Linked DNA regions of Caenorhabditis elegans. The protein of the gene in region 3 interacts with the protein of the main gene of each other region in a pairwise test. Each region holds a gene or a part of one and is shown on either strand. Other genes may lie near its edges.

Evidence for each region.
Region 1: the proteins of zoo-1 (region 3) and zig-12 interact in a two-hybrid assay, tested with the Caenorhabditis elegans proteins (one large-scale study listed by BioGRID).
Region 2: the proteins of zoo-1 (region 3) and snn-1 interact in a two-hybrid assay, tested with the Caenorhabditis elegans proteins (one large-scale study listed by BioGRID).
Region 4: the proteins of zoo-1 (region 3) and M195.2 interact in a two-hybrid assay, tested with the Caenorhabditis elegans proteins (one large-scale study listed by BioGRID).

The regions. Positions count from the first base shown.
Region 1 is NC_003284.9:8,762,189-8,766,819, reverse strand, and holds zig-12 (Ig-like domain-containing protein), read right to left. Parts: upstream 2,914-4,631; 5' UTR 2,912-2,913; coding exon 2,846-2,911; intron 2,800-2,845; coding exon 2,665-2,799; intron 1,884-2,664; coding exon 1,793-1,883; intron 1,746-1,792; coding exon 1,633-1,745; intron 1,488-1,632; exon of another isoform or gene 1,342-1,487; intron 959-1,341; coding exon 770-958; 3' UTR 540-769; downstream 1-539.
Region 2 is NC_003282.8:1,812,072-1,816,923, forward strand, and holds the start of snn-1 (ATP-grasp domain-containing protein), read right to left. Parts: upstream 3,029-4,852; 5' UTR 3,026-3,028; coding exon 2,898-3,025; intron 1,868-2,897; coding exon 1,796-1,867; intron 1-1,795.
Region 3 is NC_003279.8:14,527,978-14,532,579, reverse strand, and holds the start of zoo-1 (Tight junction protein ZO-1), read right to left. Parts: upstream 3,052-4,602; 5' UTR 3,049-3,051; coding exon 2,953-3,048; intron 1,649-2,952; exon of another isoform or gene 1,600-1,648; intron 604-1,599; coding exon 550-603; intron 1-549.
Region 4 is NC_003280.10:8,359,133-8,363,742, reverse strand, and holds M195.2 (Activated in Blocked Unfolded protein response), read right to left. Parts: upstream 2,991-4,610; 5' UTR 2,955-2,990; coding exon 2,907-2,954; intron 2,653-2,906; coding exon 2,528-2,652; intron 2,480-2,527; coding exon 2,330-2,479; intron 2,255-2,329; exon of another isoform or gene 2,243-2,254; coding exon 2,146-2,242; intron 2,102-2,145; coding exon 1,961-2,101; intron 1,869-1,960; coding exon 1,653-1,868; intron 1,610-1,652; coding exon 1,475-1,609; intron 1,155-1,474; coding exon 967-1,154; intron 924-966; coding exon 656-923; 3' UTR 517-655; downstream 1-516. Other genes in the region: amt-3 (Putative ammonium transporter 3), read left to right, coding at 129-327; col-77 (Nematode cuticle collagen N-terminal domain-containing protein), read left to right, coding at 4,398-4,477, 4,530-4,610.

The DNA.
Region 1 (4,631 bases), on a different chromosome or scaffold from region 3:
AATATGTAGTTCAAATATAATAACAACATCAGTTCTTCACAAAAATTGTCGGAAAAAGATTTTCAATCCAAGAAACCTGATTTTTGAACAAAGCCTCTAAACAGTGTCTAATGAGACACTAGTTTCAGCGCACACATTTTTTTAAATGGAGGTTTTAGGACAAAGTTGATATGTTCAAACAATGAAAAATTAAATAAACATTTTGTTACTTTCTCAAACCTTTCATTAAAAATATGTTTCTTGAGTTACAGTCGTTTTAGTAATCATCGTCAAAAACGGACTCACGAGATGCCCGCCGCTTTATTACTTGCCATGTGATGGATGAATAATTGCAACATGTAAAAATACATAGGCCTGATCACGAGCTACATTTTACCAGTTGAAAATTTTTTGGTACCTTTCCTAGTTTTGAAGTTATGCCCATTGGAAAAAATATCGAAATCGTCAAAAAACTGAAAGTGGATATCTTTTTGGCCAGCACTGTATATATATATATTGATTTCTGTACTTGCAAGTATATCTTCTCATGTTCAATGTGTCAAGAAACTTTTTTATTTTGGCTGATACCAATTCATGTGCATGGGACACAAAGTTCAAATTACTTTGAGAAGACAAATACTACAAAACGTTAAAAGTTACAGAAGAAAAAAAAGCGGAAAGTGCAACTACCAAAATCGAAAATCAGAAGCAACGATTAACATGAAAATTGATTTGAGGCTTTATGAATTGAATTGTATGACAATTAAAAACCAAGGGAAAATTTATAAAATTAATCGAAAACCAAGTTCAACGCTTGTTGGTTTTGTCCTTCGGAGTTCTTGACAACGCACTTGTATTTTGCTTCATCGTCTTTTTGTGGTCCGGTGATTTCGAGTAGGAATTGGAATCCGTCTTTGTCCTTATCGTCCTTCTTTACAACAGCCTTAACTCGGTCAGTGAATTTCACTGGTTTTTCATCCTGGAAGAATGAATTAGTGAAAAATATGAAATTTACTTTTTTTCTGTTAATTTAAAAATGATTTATACTAGACGGTCGTTCAGAAAATTTTTTCCAAAACAAGTTTGTTAATTTTATTTATCAAAGCATTCCAAAAAAACTCAAACTTGGTTCCAAGCATGCCCATTGAAATGTTCATTTTTCATTTTTCATTTTACATTTTGAACCAGACAACAAGTGAATTCTTTTAATGTTTATTGAACCTTTTTGCTTTTAGTTTTTTGCGCCATTTCTCTTTTTTGTTCACTACTCAAAACTTCGCTCTATCTGCTCCATGAGCCTCAAGTATCTGTCTCGGCACAACCCAAAGGCGCGGACGAGGAGGCCTCCCAACTTTTGTCTTATTTCCACACTTCTTTACATTACCCATCTCTGCCTTTCTATTTTGAATCCCCTTGAGAAAGCCGGAGAGGTTCACTTCGACTAACATAAATGTGGAAATTAGGACAACTACATTTTTTTCTTCGGTGGAAGAAAGAAGACAAAAGAAAAAAGACACGTCAGTCAGTCGATCCATCTTCGAGAAGCTCTATTCTGGTTCAACCAAAATGAATTTAGCAATGCCAAGAAAAATACCGAATAAGAATTCAGGGAAATTTTTTCCCCTAAGATTCAAAGTAAGGTGACAGACATACCTTGAACCATTCGGCCTTCATCTCAAGGTGGGACTTTGCGCGGACCTTAATCACAATCACATTTCCGTTATCTCTTTGAACAATATGTGGCTTGTCATGGAAGTCTGGGGCGTCTGAAATTGTATGTGTAAGCTTTTAGTGTTTTTGATAATGAGCTCACTTCCTGCTGCGACTGTGAAGTTAGAGCTGTTCTCTCCATCGGCGTTGGCAAAGACGGCTTTGTATTCTCCGGCAAGTGGTTTATCAAAGTCCTATAAAATGATGATTTAAAGAAGCAAAAAGGTGTTTTGTTAACAGTTAAAATTCATAATTCCGATTATTTTTTATCACAGGTAAAGCGGGATTGCTCAGAAGCGGCCCAATGGCAGCTGATAAAATCGTTTTTGTGTTCGGAGTTTTTTTTTAAGCTTAGAAAAACGAAATTTGCGACCGGGGCGGTCGACAATCGGCTTATTGGCTGACATGGAGACAGACCACCGGCGGACATCAGTTTTTTTTTTCAGTCTGCGGCATTTTGGACCGTTGGACAGTTTTTCAGTTGCTTTTCCGTTTTACCAGTAATGTAGCTTATGTGGTTTGTTTTTCAACTACTACTATCATTAGTAACTTTTACAATTATAGTTCCTAATGTGAAGTTCAAACTGCACGGCTTTTTTTAATGTTTACTGAATTTTCAAAATTACAGTTCACGTTATTGATGTATATTTAATGTGAGATACGAAAAAAATAAAGAATATAGTAAAGTAAAAAGTATTTTGTAATGATGAATGTACTTAGAGTTTCCTTTTGATCAAATGCTTAACCGTTGTTATGTTTTGCTTTTCACCTCCCGACCGACAGCTAATTCTGCTTTTGCCGCACTTTTGCCCAAAATCTACGGTAAGTCCATCAAAAACCAATTAAACGCAGATCAAAACACATACAGACAACAGTTGCAGAGCGCATCGCAGCAATGGGACCATAAAATGACTCGTGAGTCGTTTTATGTGATTTATACGAGATGCTTTGGCAAACAGTTGCTCTCAAACTGACCTTGATTTCGGCAACAAACTTGGTGCGGTTGCCTCCTTCGTCACTGTTTGAGAACTTCAGGAACTCGTTCTCCTCAAGCTCGTCTGGTCCGAAAAACCACTGAATCTTAGAAACATCAGCTCCAGTGACGATGACCTGGAAGAAAACTTAGCAATTTTCAAAAGGAAAAGCAAATTCGTACCTCAAGGAACACCGACCCGTTCTCTGATCTAATTTTTGGTTCTCCGTAAATTGATGGTGGTGCCATATCTGAAAAAATTAAAATCTGTAGTTTTATGATTGAATACGAAGCCATGAATATACGGAATCTCGGTAACCTAAAGTTTTACACACTAAAAGAAAAGAGGGGCGTGTTTTCTGATCAGGTAAGAGCGCCGCCAAGAGCGAATGAAAAATGATCTGCCAATGTGTTTTTACCATCATTTATCCATTGAGTTCACAGGAAAATAGGAGACGAAAGACTTCTTGAACGGTAGTTCGTAGTGGCTTTTGGGTGGGAGAACTAAGCAAACAATGTTTTATGTTCTCAATGAACAAGCACAAGTAGGGGAATGTTGGAGAAGATCTAGACAAGATGTGTCAACAGTATTTTGAGGGAAAACACTTTATAATGCTGAGAAAAAAAAGAAAAAGGCAAAAAGACCAATGGTTGAAGGTTGAAAAATGCTTCGAAAATTGAATCACTGGTTTTTTGTACATATAACAGTTGATTTTAGTCATGTTTTTTGTGCATTGAGATCAGCACTCAAGAATAAATTTAAAAAAAACAAATTTGAGAGGAGAACAAAAAATATGAAGAGGAGAAAAATGATGTCTCGCTTGTAGTTTCCAACTGACAAAAGTGCCAAGAGGTCGCTGTTAGAGTCCCATTTTCCCTTTATCTTTTTCTCTGTTTCACGAAGGTGTTGTAATTTCTACTTCTTCTGCTGCTAAGCTCTTTCTCCGCCTCCTGGTCGCTAGTCGGAGAACGAAACGACGAAAAAAGATGGGAAAGATGAATGTCCCGGGAGCCCCCCGGAGCTGCCCACAGATTTTGCGGAGGAGGAGAAAGGTGGATGGGATGGCACTTCCCACCTAACTCTTCATTTCTCGTCGACGTTGAAGATCCCAAAATTTTTACAAAGTTCTCAATGAAGAGCTGCAGGGCGAAGGCAAAGTTGACGAGACACGCTTCACAAAGGATATTTGAGAGTATTTTGAAATCGGAATCAATGAGCAATTTGGGAACGGATGGAAATGACGTCGCTGGTTGTTGTATGAGTATTAAGGATTTCAAAAGTTGTTAAATGAAAATGCCACTTTGAAACTGAGCAACTCGAAAGCAATGGATTTATAGACCTGTCACAATAGGACGATCATGATGTGCACATTTTTGCAAATCGCGGCGTGCGCATTGTGCATGGTTTCATTGATGATATCTGCATTGTACGTTCATAATGTCAATTCTTCGCGGTTCTTTATGACCACATTGCAATTCAACTATGTAGGTTTAGCATTGGGTCAAAGAACAATTTAGTTGATTGGCCTCATCTTACAATAAGCTGCATAATTTCCTATTTAGAAAGAAACCAGAGAATAAGCTACCAGACTTGGCCGAATAGAGCAATGTGGAAAACGATATAGGACACTTAAATGCCCCAGTCGCGTTAAAAATTAAAATATATTGCCTTTCTAGGTCTCAAAATGAGATGAATCCCAAAAATGGTAAAAACATAAGCTGACAATTTTTCAGTTAAAAACAAATTATTTTATAATAAACTTATATGAACCAAACTGTTTTCATTCTTACTTTTTTCTATCCAACACCTTGTAAGTTTTCCATATTGTAATTCAGCAGTGGAACTCCACATTCAATCTGAAAATCATGTATCAAAAGATCAAATATTATGTTTCAGAGAGTTCAAAGAGTAAGAGTGATATTGTATAAAGATGCCGAGAGTGTGTGTAATTTGAAACTTCGGTACGTC
Region 2 (4,852 bases), on a different chromosome or scaffold from region 3:
AATTTGTATACACCCCTAAAAAATCGTGAAATAATCTCAAGTATTCGAATTTTCCTTCAATTAAAACCACCCGAAAATGACGGAAAATAGCGATTTTTGAGTTTGACTCAAAATATCTCGGCTCAATGAGCTCCAATCTTTCTGAAAAAAAGAATACAGAGGTAGGGCAAGCTTTTTGAAAAGACAGCAAAAAACCGCATCAAAATCCATCCACCCACCGTCAAGTTACACGCGCGTTTTCAAAGTGAAATCTTTTTGTCGACAAAAAGGGGCGGAGCGAGGGTCATTTTTTTTTGGATTTTGAAGCTTAATATCTCGGCTCCTGTAAATCGAAATTGGCTCAAAATTCACAAGAAAACTTATTTCACTGCCGTCCTCCTGTCATTAAATTTTCGTGAGCTTAGACAGAAAACTGACAAAACGCCAAACTTTCAAATTTAAAAAAATAGTTGAGGGTCATTTTGAAAACACCTTAAGCTTCATAACTCGGCGAGTTTTGATGGAATCAATTTGAAATTTTACACGAAAGCTTCTTAGTGGCCTATACGTCTCTGTGTTAAATTTCGCTTTGATCGGCCAACGGGAACCCTTTGAAAAATGAAAAAAACGCTGTAATCCTAACCCTAAATAGCGTCAGTGCTGCTGTAATCCTAACCCTAAATAGCGTCAGTGCTGCTGTAATCCTAACCCTAAATAGCGTCACTGACGCCAAGCCAAGGCATAAGTTTTAGCCTAGGTCTAAACCTAAGCCTAAGAGTAAGCTTAAGACTAAGCCTAACCCTACGCGAAAGCCTAAGCTTAAGACTAAGCCTAAGCCTAAGCCTAAACCAAAGCCTAGGCCTAAACCTGAGTAAGCCTTTCGCATGGTAAAATAATTTTTTCAAAAAAAATTAAAACTTCCAAAATGTTACCAGAGTATTTACCTAGCCTTGTACATATTTAAAATAATCGAATGTCTGCAAAAAGCTGTATTTCGAGCAATTTTACGGGTGTGAAATTTTTTATGATATATTATCAATAAAACTGACCAATTTTCAAAGATGGAGTAGCGTCAGTGGATTTTTTTTTGTTTTTTTTTTTTAATACACTTATAATGATTTAAGACAACCGAGTATCACATCAAAAAACTCTAAAAAATTTTAGATTTTTCAAAATTTCCGGACAAAGTTTTGGCAAATTGCCAAAATTTCGAAAAAATATGAGCTCTTGAGGAAATCCCAAGCAATGTCGCATGTTTCGACCCCTACAATGTTTTAATACAAATAATTGAATCAAAATCATTTACTATATATAAAGCGCTTATTCCGTTTGTCCATAGTTTGTAGTCTATGTAGTCTTTGTAGTCTGCGAAGTTTTAGCTTCTGGAGGGATAGTGAGTTGGGGGTTAGTGTAGGGATATAGTCGGGGTACTGTAGTGGTACAATAGTGGTACGGTAGGAATACTGTAGGGTTACGGTAGTTTCATAAAAAATTAATTTTCAGCCCCAGAAGTCGGGGGCCGCGCCGAAGGTGCGGTCCACGGCTGGTAAATAAATAAATAAATAAAAATTGGTTTTTTAAAGCAAAAATCTTTGATGTGCGTTTGTAAATTGTTCAATTCTTATAAATTTGTCATAAAATATTGGGTCCCATCACGAAAATTCCCAGGTTTTCGCGGCAGGATCGCTAAGTTTTGAAATTTGATCAAAACATGTCATGATTATACTCAAATGAAAGCTCTCTCTTGAGCCAAACTCAAATTTTTTATTAATTTTTTGTTTCGAACAATTTTAAAGCAAAATTCCAGCTAACAAACCTATCATGATTGAGTGACCTCTCCAGTGCAGCGGCAAGTGATTCCCGAGACTTGGCAGGTGACGTTGGAGCACTGAAATAAGTGAACATATCTGACAAAGTGATTTAAACACATGTTATCTTGGCAGCAGAACAGAATATAGAAAAAAAATGTGCGGGTTTCCATGGAGATACCCAGATTTGCATTTTCTCGGGAAAAATGAAGGAAATTCTCTGAGGAAAATTTCCCACGATTCTCTCATTTTACACTATATTTTATTTTTTTTTTATCTTTGGCAGTCTCAAAAGAGCCGCACACTACAATTTTAATGAATGTTTTCGCTAGCGGGTTTTTTGGTTCTTTCTTTTTTTTTTTTGAAGTGGATGACAAATTTTCTTGAGAATTTGTGTATTTTTTGAAATAAAACTTTTAATTTGAGCTTTTTAAATGATCTGGTGAAATTTTGGAATTTGAAAAGATCAGGTGGTTCAGATAAGTATAAACAAGCCCAGGTTTAGAATTAAGAGATTTGGAGCATTCCTGTGCTCCGCGAGCATTATCTGAACTGATAAGAATCTTTTAGAATCAATTTTTCAAACAAAAAAGTTCGAGCCTGTTCAGAAAAGTATAAACAAGCCTAGGCTTGGAGCTTTAGAGATTTGAAGCATGAGCGGCTCTGTGAGCCCGGGAGCTCCAGAATCAAATTTTTTTAAACCAAGCAATATGGGTGTCAAATTGATGCTATTGGCAGGCTGTACAACAATTCTGAACTGGAATTTGAAAAATCTGGAAAATGAAGCATATTGAGCTCTTTTTTTAAATTTTTGTCAGACAAAATTGACTGGAAACTGGGAAAAATATATTAAAAAAAGGTTTTTGAAAATTTCATTTGAATTTTCAGATTAAAAAGCTCAAGGCGGCCTAGGTTTGGAATTTTAGAGATTTGGAGGATCGGCTGCTCTGTGAGCTCCGGGAGCTCCAAACTCAAAATTTTTAAAAACCAAGCTATGTGGGTGTCAAATTCAAACTTTCAAAGTTTTCTAAACTGGAGTCTTCCCAGCCGGCCGAGCTCACGGAGCACACAAATATTTGAGATTTTTTATTTTATTTTAAAATTTCGTACCTTATCGTATTAGACACCTTATTAGCAATCGACTGAAATGAAAAAGAGCTCGGCGGTCCCGAGTTCACGTCATCCATTGGCTCACCCTCATCCTCGGAAAACGAGAATTTTCGCTTGAAGAAATTCATTTTCTGAAACTGGAAAATTGGATTTTCGTGAGCAAAAAAAGGGGGAAAAAGAGCAAAATGTCAGAGAGAAGCCACAAATTTTCTTAAAATTTCCCCAGAGACCTTTTCAACCCATAATTAGAGTTAAAAATAACTAGAAACAACTCAAAAACCAAAAAAAAAAACCATGAAATGTACATTTTGTGGGTGAAGGAGAAAAGGGGAAAGTGTCTGGAGGGGTTGAAGCTAAGGAAGTGAATAGAGAGAGAGAGAGAGAGCACAGAGAGAAACTTAGAGATAAAGAGAAAAAAGATGGAGGAAAGTGGCGAGGAATAGGGGCATCAATTTGAAAAGCGAGAACGTCAGTCCCCCTAAGGGGCCCCACAAACTTTTTGATGAAATTTTGAGATTGTTTAGAGGCAAGGTTGGTGGCCTAACATTTTTAGTTTAAGCTTTTAGGCTGTGTGATTAGAATTTTTGAATTCCCCTAGATTTTGCGGTTTAGAAAAGAATAAACATGGCTAGACTTTGAATTTTTGAGGAATGGGCTCGCGGAGCACCAAAAAGTGTCGATTTTCTGGAAACGGGCTCTTGCCGGTGCTCCGCGAGCCAAAACCCAGAAATTTCAGAACCTGGACAATATGAATATTATCTGAAAACACTAAACACGCTGATTCTGATACTTGTGTTCATTTTCCTCAAAAATTCAAATTTGTGCTTTTTAGAGCTGAAAGACACTGGGCTCCGCGAGCTCGAGACCGAAAAATTCAGGACTTGGACTATTTGAAATCTCTCATTGCTACAGTTTTTTTTAAAGAAAAATGTGAATACTTATTTGGAGCATTTCGAGCTTAAAAGAAGAAATTTCAAAATTTTTTCAAAGAAGAAGAGACTTTCAAAAAAAAAAAAAGAAACGTCACTTTTTAATTATGGCTTGACACTGGAAGATGTCTAATCAAATTTGAAGAAAAAATAGGAAAAAAAAGGAAGAAAAAAAAAGACTAACTCACGAAAGAAACTATTCGGGCCTTTTCAGTCATGGTTTTCAAATTTTAAAATCAGAAAAGTATATACATTACTAGGTTTAAGATCGCTGAGCACATCTGAGAGCTAGGAACTTTCCTCAAAATTTAAAGCTATTTGGAGAATTTAAAACGAAACATTTCTTAATTTCAAGAGATGTGTGGGTAATCTTGTATTCATTGAAGTGAAACAAGAAAGAAGGCGAGACGAAAAAGCGTATAATCCCGTAAAGTCGAAATGTTATACCCCCTTTTCTGCGTCGAAAAAAGGGGAGAAGCCGCATCCAAAATGCACATGGAGACGGAGAGAAACATGAAACAAAATCAAATGGAGCCGGGCGTAAGGAGAGTGGGTGAAATTTACATTTGGGTGAAAACTGAATTACCCAAAAAATACTAGTAGATGAGAGCGCAGACAATTTTTCGAGCCTCTGGAAAATGTAGAGAAAGCTCGAAAATTTGAACTTTTTAAATTTCAAAAATTTTTTATATTTTTGCGCCGAAAAATGTGAAATTTTATTTGAAAAAATGTCAGAAATTTCTGGGTACAAAAACTTTAGCATAGGATCTACATATTGGTTCATGTTAAAAATGCAAAAGTCTAGAGAAGCTCAGTGAAAATTCGAGAATCAAGTGTCAACGGAGGGACGGGGACACAATGATTGATAGCTGACTTACATGGCTTCTAGTGGTTTTTCTTGTTTTCCTTTTTGCTGGTTTGGGGGAGGGGGGGGGGGGGGGGGGGGAAAGCTCGTGTTGGAGCATGGTGCATCGACGCTAAAAAACTCGGAGTTTCGATATTTTCAGAAACTGATCTATTATTGTA
Region 3 (4,602 bases):
GTCACAATGTCCCATTTCGGTTTGATCTCCGAGAATTGCGGGATTTTAGACGCAGGCTTCTAAACTGGATTCGCATGGTTAAGAGTGTGCTGAGGACAGCTTGGCACCCTAGTTTAGGAAATTATAATAAATTTTTAATTAAGCTCAGAATTTAGTAGATAATTTTTATGAAAATCCGAAATTTAACCGAGTTAGGGGAGTTTTTTTTAGAAACTCAACACATAATTCAAGTAAGGTATAAATAACAAAATTTTCGACTCACTATCAGAAAATAGTTCTTCTATGTACATATATTTGTAACTGTGCTAAATAGATAGGTTGACAGGTAATTGACATTCGACCTGTATCAAGTAACGAGTTTACCTGGAAATTTCTATACAGATTGCCTAAACGGAATGTATACCCCTATACCTATACACAATTGTCCCTTGCATACATGGACGATAAATCATTTATACCCGAGTAGGAGAAAAAAAATGGGAAACGGGTTTTGTTTATGGTCAGGGAGGAATTAGACAATGTTTAAAATATAAACAAAAAGAAACATACTCTGTGTAAGGAGACGGAGAGAAGTTGCCACGTGCATCCACTCGGGTTGTACATCTGGAATATAGGTGATTAGGTGATTTTTAGGTTTTAGAAAAAGATTTTTGAAATGAATATCGTAGGTACAGAGACGTTAGTATACTGGTCTGAAAGAGCAAGAAATTTCCTATTTTTTGGCTAGGACACTTTCTTGCTACTTAATTATAAACAATCAAAAATAGGTGATTTTTAGGTTTTAGAAAAACTGCACAGAAATTGCCGTAATTTTAGATTTAAAACAGTTAGTTTTGTTAATTATGTTGCAACTAAACCAAAGTATAGAAAAAGCATTTGCTAATTGTAAGCTTAACTTTTTAAACTGGTCAAAAGTTTTGGACCGCAGCTACTACATAGAAACCGTACCATTATTATCAATTTCCTAAAAAATCCAATTTTTTATATTAAGAAAACGACTACTTATTTTATAACGGTGAAACTAAAACCACAAACAGTATTTGCCTATACATACAAATTTTTAAATTGTTATTCCTGAAACTTATAAAATAATATGAAAATTCACTATAAGATGCAGAAAAACATTTTTGGCAACTGTTGTTCATGAATGTAAATTACCGCTAAACTTTGCCGAATCAAAAATGGTGAAAGACTAATTTTTCATAACTTCTTGGAAAATAATAAATCAACTATATAGATATAGCATTTGTTAGATACCAATTTAAAAAGTTTCTCTTTTTTGATCTACCCCAAATTATGAGTAATTTAAAACCATATATGTAATGCTATCAATTTTTCCTATAGGTGATAAATTACAGTACCCATACAGCCTAAGAATTCTAAAATCTATTGTAATTTTTCTCATAACTAGGCTACCAGTAGACATCAAAAGTCAAATAAGCGACACACGAGTTGAATAGAAACAAAAAGAGTCTTCTCTCTCTCTCTCTCTTCTAAGAAGGGCATGATATCAATGTCTGGTTAAAACTGGGAAAAGGGGGTCCCTCGGGAAGTTGTGTGGAAGAAGAAAGAAGAAGAAGAAGAGGCTCTTTTTCTTTTTCATACACACACATTTCTCATTTACACTATGTTGAAAAACGAGAAAAAAGTGGATGGGAGGAGAATGAGAAAAGTGTCTCTTTTATTTTTGACCTGACTCTCATATTATTAGACGTTTTGTTTCAGGGGTAGTAAACGCGTTTTGAATGGTTTTCTATCTTTTGGCATTAATTTTTCGCGGTTTTCAAAGAAAGTGTGAGCATGTTCAGTTTTTGCTAGTGGAACAAGCATCGCGACAAAAATGGACAAAATCGTTCAACTATGTAAAAACCTTAATTTAAAGTTGCTTTTAACCCTATACGTTATACCGTTAAAACATACATCTTAAAGGTGGAGTAGTGCCAGTGGGGAAGTTGTTAAAAACCAAAAGTCCCAAAATGATCTAATATCATAATAAAACTTTTCAAAAAATTTTTGAAAATTTTTTATTTATTGTCAAAAAGTGGTGACAATTACTGAGTTTTTGCCACTCATAATTTTGGAAGTCGACCAAAAAAAAATTGTTTTTCTACATTTTTAATTCTGTAATCTTGTTTTAATTATTCGTATTAAAACATTGTAGGGGTCGAAACATGCGGCATACCTTTGGACTTTTTTTCAAAAGCTCTGATTTTTCAAAGTTTTGGCAATATGCCAAAACTTAGGCCGGAAATTATGAAAAATCTAAAATTGTGTTATATTATGATATTTGGTCGTTTTGGATCATAATAAGTGTACTTAGACAATATCCCCACCTTTAAAACGTTATACCTTATTACGAAAAATATACTATGTATAGCCTTAACTTAACGTTACGTTTTAACTTTTTTTAAAAATATTACACGATACTTTATAACCTTTATTTTAAAAACTAACGTTATAATTCGTTACACATGTAAAAACGTTGTTTTAATATGATCGTTCAATTAAAATTTTAACGTTTTTTTAATATATGATACTATAACCTTAACCTTTTAATCTTGTTGATAACGTATAATTTATAACATTTGAAATCAGGCTAAATCTATATTATAGTGTGTAATAAAACGTTGTAACGTATAACAAAGGACATAGCGTTACAGTTAGTTATAGCTTTGATTTTGAAAACGTATCGAAATATTGTAGTGTGAAAGCTCAAATAAATTCTTAAAATTGTACGTGATGACGGTATAACAGCTACCTTATTTAAATACATTTATGACGTCACAACAGTATTAAAATACATGCTTACAGCGGTAACGTTCATTTTCTAAACTTTTTAATTTTCCGACACTACTTGAAAAACATCATTATATTGCTATATCCAACAAAAAAATTGTTAGAATTTGGTATAAAGCTTTAATTTTTTTTTTAGAAACAAACAAAAATACTAACCTCTTCCTCATCCTGATCGACAGGCTCATGTTCCTCCTCAATACAAGAAGACGTACTTGACATGGAGGTCTTGTACCATGATGGGTCCTCTGACATTCTGGAATATAAAAGTTGTTATATACAAAAAGAAAATAATCAAAAATCACAGGGTAAATAGAGGCTAATCGTATATACAAATAGAAGCGGAAAAAGCAATGAAGTTCAGTTTGTTTCTTATGCTTTTTGAAGACTGCGGTTTTTTTTTTAAATTTTGTTATAAAAATTAATATTTTAACTCAAAGAACAATTGAAAACGTTTTAAAGTTCAATTTCAACAGAAATAATAAGAATAACCAGAAAATTCTAATTTATAAGGACAAGTTTTCAATTTTTTAAAGTAACATCGAAAAAAACTGTATAGAAGTAGTAATTAGTATGAAAATTGAAACTTCTTATTGAGAAAAAGTTATAATAGGTCAACTTTTAAATTTAATAATAGTAAAAAAGCCCCGTTTAAAGCGGTTACATTATGAACAAATTAAATTTTAACAAACTCAAATAAAACAAGTTCTATTTAAGTAGTTATCACAGTACTTAAACAATTATAAATTCCAAAGAAATATTGATTTTATAGGAAAATCCTGAACTTTTCCCATACAAAACCCTGCAAAATCCAATAAACAACCTTGAAAAGTTGTTAGTTTAAACGGGGAAAATGTCGTCAAATGGTGTGTTATTCCATTCAATACATACGCATATATCGGGTACGCAGACATTGAATTTGACGACATATTGGTAGGCAGAAGGGTAGGAGAATGGGGAAAAGGGGTCATGTAAAGGAAATTGAATTTGGGATGCGTGGAATTTGGAGTAATTTTGGGGTTTTCTGGGGGGATGGGGAATTGAATTTTTGAATAGTATCGGAGTAATTAGAGATATGAGAGAAGAAAAATAGTAATTGTTTGGAAAATGTGTGTAGTCTTAAATTCAAATTCCATGCAATTGAGTTAGTCAAAAAAAGGAAGTGTATGAATGTTATCATACGTTATAATACATATATGTACATAAATTATATATACCGTACATTCCCTATTAGTATGGCCCCCCGTCAATCGACTTTGTCGGCTCATATTTCAACGGTTTAAAAATATTTTTGATACCTTCAAAAACCAAAGCATAACGATAGATTTGAAAAAAATTGTGTCGTTTGAATTTTGAATTTTTGAAATATGATCAAAGACAACCGAGATATAAACGTACTAAAAAGGGAATATATGGTAAAATTCCATGGTGTGTTATAGAATTCGGTATATATATAATTATATAGGTATATAGATATATAGAATTAAGTACCTATGTATATCGGTTCTAGTTAGCTATTTCTAATTAATAATTATTACAGTCTTGAACGAAAGTTTCAAAACTGTGAGGTATTAGACTTTGTCACTTTTATGCTTTTGTCAAACCAAAGTCAGATGGTTCAATAACCTATTTTCCCAAGACAGTGTATCATATAAGCTTGAAATACAGTCTAAAACATCGATTTCAGAACAAAAAATGGACAAGTCTTGTTTGGTGATTGGCACAAAACACTTCAGCTCAAAAACTCATAAACTGGAAAAAAGTTGATTAGTTTTTTTTTGCAGAATGTAATTTTTGAGCTTGCCGTTG
Region 4 (4,610 bases), on a different chromosome or scaffold from region 3:
ACATTGCAAATACCAAAGATCCACAGTCCTGAAAATGTAACCAGGATTTTTAAACCTTGTAATATAATAGAATATCAAAAATTGCAAGACAAAAATTAAAACTCAATTAAATGGAAATAAATTTTCAGATCAATATCCATTCGATCTTCTCCATCTATACACACAGTCTCTGCAATTAGTACAGCTGCACCAGACTCGCGACCATCAACAGCTTCTGCAACATCTATCATTTCAAAGAAATCTAGCAAAAATTCGACGGTTGGCAAATTTGTTAAAGCACCAGCTCCAAGAGCCTTATCACCGCCGGATAATAATCCACCTGTTTGAAAAATTTGCATTTTTTGCTATTAAAATCTCCAATCAACACCGGGTGTTTCCTTGTTAGTTTTATTATTTTTAAATTTGTAACGTTTCTGGCTTCAATTTCGGGTTTTCTTTTTCTCGTTCACAAAATTTTTTGAATAGTATCTATTCAAAACCTTTCAGTTGAAAAGCTTCAATTGTACTTAAGCGCAGTAATATTTGTATTTATTGGATTATATTTTCGAAAATAAAATATTTTAATTTGGTTTTTAGTCGAAAATTTGAAAGACAACGGGAACAAGCATGGCAATAAATATTGATGAACATTTAAATAAATAAATAATTTAATTTTTTAAAGAGAGGTAGGAGATGGTGAAGATGACGTTGAAGCCGATGGTTTCAACGGAGCAAGCGAAATATTAATTTTTATTGGTTGAGCAGATGAAGCAGGTGCTTGATCGGCGGAAGGTGTGAAAAGTTGTGCAGAGTTCCGTTGCACTTGAGGACTTGTACAGGCAGAGTCACATTGTGGAGAACATTTGTCAAGGCAACTAGATGGAGGAGCTGATTTCTGAGTTACACAGGCTAGCTGACAAACTGATTGACACTCCGAAGAACATCTGAAGAGTTTAACTTTGAAGTATTCACATAATATTCACTCACCTTTGCTGGGGATCAAGTAGTACTGGGTATGACTGTGGGGCTTGTGTACTTGGTTGTGAAGCCACAGTTGGTGCACAAACTTCATTGCATGTATTTCTACAATTTGTTGGGCAGCCTTCGGTTGGTTGTGGTGAAAGTTGAGCACACGAATTTGCACATCCAGTTTGACACTGGGCCATGCAATTTGGCTGAAATTACTTCAATAATTAATAATAATGTTACAAACGTTTAAAGAAAAACTGAAACAATTTTAGGATTAAAGGTGGAGTAACGAAATCAGTGAAATGTTTTTGACTTTTTAAAATACATATTCGGAATCAGTGAAAAATTCGGATTTATTAAGAAATATATCCCAGATTTCGGTCCTCCTGCAATACAAAATGGGCACTTCTGGTTTTAGATACGGGAAAAGAACTTTCCGAACATTCTTAATGTAGTTTTTTTTATGACCTCGATGACTAATATGCAAAAAAAGTCACTTGGCAGTTTTTTTTTTCAACCAACACACCTGTTGCTGAGGCGCTGCTTGAGGAATTGAGGCAGGAATTGTCTGAGTAGTTTGTGCAATTGGTTGTGATGCTTGTGGCTGCGCCTGTTGTTGAGGACTGTTTTGAGGAGATTGCTGTGGTTGTTGTTGTTGAACCTGATTAGATAATTTGTTTTGATAGAAAAAATGAATGGAAAACCTGGATTTTTATTTTAATCGGTGCGTTAGTAGTGGTGGTTTGAGTTGGTAATTGTGGTGATCCTTGTGGTGATTGAGATGGACACATCGAAGAGCAAGTGTTTTGGCACGTAGCATCGCACGTGGATTGGGAAACTCTATTTGAGCAAGAAGAACGGCAAGTGTCCGAGCAAGTAGACATGCATTTTGCTCCATCATCCAGTACTTTGATACTCACCTGGAAAATAGTTAGCTTTGCAATATCAGATTTAAATATTAACTTTTGAAATATATTACTGATTAAAAAAAACAAAAAAATTAAAACTATACCTTCAATGGTGTCTGTGTTGTTGTTTGTGATTGTGAAGAGCTTGCTGAAGGGTTTGATTGACAAACTCGAGAGCACGATCGATTACAAGAGCTTGCACATTGCGACGAACTGTACTGTTTTTGTTGACAAACGTTTGAGCACTAAATACTTTTAATATGCATGATTTTCATATTCAAAATAAAACCTGTGAATTACAACCCGAAAGACATGATTTTCCAGCGACTGCTCGAATTACAGATGGTTGGTTTTTAATTTGAACAATTGAAGAGGATGAAGTCGGCCTGAAAATATTACAATTTTAGACATTAGAGAATCTTAAAGGCGTTTCAAGGGTGTTCATGCCAAAAGATGCAGATAAGATTTCTTACGCGAATTGTTTGTTACATGCATTTACACACGTATTCTGGCAATTCATACGACATCCGAATCCTCCGGAAGACGAGCAAGTCGGTCGACACGTGGAACGACAGGAATTGGCACACGAAGAAGAAGCTTGACATCCACAAGAAGATGTTGAACTGGAACTGGACGGACGTTAGGCAGGAAGACGAGTAATTGATACTTACGGGAGTGGGGAGCATGAACATACACGATTTGAGATGTTTGTAGAAGTTGAACATTTACAAGCCATTTGAGGTTTCGATGAACATCCGCATTGGCGTTTGCTTCGTGTTGGGGATTTCGCATCAGTCTAGAATTTGAACTTAGACTTAAATATTTATTGAAAAGTGATTGGCTATGGTGCAAGTTTACAATTTTCATCTAATTTTTGGTTTTTCACCTTGTTCTTACTATGATTAATAATTTTCAGTTAAAAATCAAAATAGTTCTAAAACACTAACATATACTTTTATTGTGCTACTAAAAGTAAGATTGCTAGAACATTTAAGTACAATATCAAAAAAAAAAATCAGTTTTCAGTTTTCTAAGAAAAAAGTTAAATACCGTGTGAATAAAAAATAGAACTAAGAATATCAAAACAGTATTTTTCATGCTGATGTCGTTGGCAGATACCTCGTTAGTTGGACTACGTACTGAATGTCCAGGAGGGTCTCCAGGGGTGGGAGCATGGCCTCCTTCCTATTGTTTGCTCAAAAAAGAAGAGGCGGTGGCCAGCCGGCCCCCGGGAGGGAGTCTGGTGCTCCTAACGGGAAAACTACTCGACTTTTGCGGTCTCTGGGGAGTGATAATCGCATTTAATCGCCGGCCACAAAATATCTCTTTCTCGCCCGATAATGAATGAGCATGAGGTGCGAAAAACGAAAGAAAAAAAAACGGAAATTGATGAGATGATTAGGATAGGTTTTTGTGGACGGCACGGATAGCGCGTAAAGAAGCCACTGAGCACATGCGCACACAAATAGAAACATAGTTCCCGGACATTGTTGGCAAAAAACATGATTTTGTTTTTCTAGGTAAATTGGCAGAAAATTTTCTATAACTATTAGACTAAAAATCTGCGAAGATCAAGTTTAGTCTCAGTTCTACTAGGCTTGAGCAATATGAAATAACTTCTGAAAATAAATCCAAAAGAGTAATACTTAGAGTCGTAAAAATAAACTGTTGTTTGTTAAATTTTGAGCAGCACAAAAAAGTCACGTAGGCACAACAAATCGCTACCTGGTTGTACATGTTCTTATTGAAACAGGAAGGCATGAAGGAACTTGAGTATGTAGTAGGCACGAGAGCCAAAAAAGACGAGTTGGATATACACGAAAGAGCAAAATATTTACGATATGATGTAACAGTTTCGATGAAATCACAAAATTTCAAAATTGCACATTTATTCAAATTTACTCATTACTCATTTCGACAATGACACATATCGTAGGCGGTAGTTTAAATTTGAACTAGTTTCTGTTTACTTTGGCTGGGCTTTCCCACAAACACAATGAAAGTACTAACCTCGGTGTTTGATCAACTTACAGATTTAACAGATTACTACAGATAACAAATAAAACGATACCGATCTAAAGCTTTCACCCATTCACACAGACAAAAACTTAAGTCTTAAATCATGTTTTACTAGGTTGTAATGTATCGAGAATCATGCAATTTGCCATCGCTTTGAAATATTCTTTTCGCAGCTTAAACATCTTCAAGGCGTCAAAAAAAGATTTCTATCTCCATCCACAGAGATACCATCGTTGTTTCACAGGTTCATCGAAAATCAACGCGTATCGGCAACCTTGCGCTCACAAAAAACCAAAACGCGGGAAGAGATACTGAAAAGGTACGAGACGCCGAATGCAAGCCCGTCGACGCAGACCGTGTTTTTGTTACGCTGAACTGCATAAGGCACGGCGCCGATGCCGTTTTTTCAGTAGTGACCTGTTGCGAAGAAGCGGCTCGTTAGACAGTTTAAAGTTGGGTATATAAGCGCCGCCTTGAATGGCAAATGGCATCGTTTCCTCATTAGATTCGAACAACACAAGCATGTACCAACAAGACGAGAAGAAGTTGATGCAAGAAGCTGAAGGCCTTCGCAAGATTGCCTTTTTCGGTATCTGCATCAGGTATTTTTCTTTGATTTTTCAATTTAATTTTAAATTAAAAATTTCATTTTAGTACCGTGGCTACTTTGACTGCCATCGTCGCTATTCCCTCGTTGTACAACTACATGCAGACTGTTCAATCCACTCTTCAAAC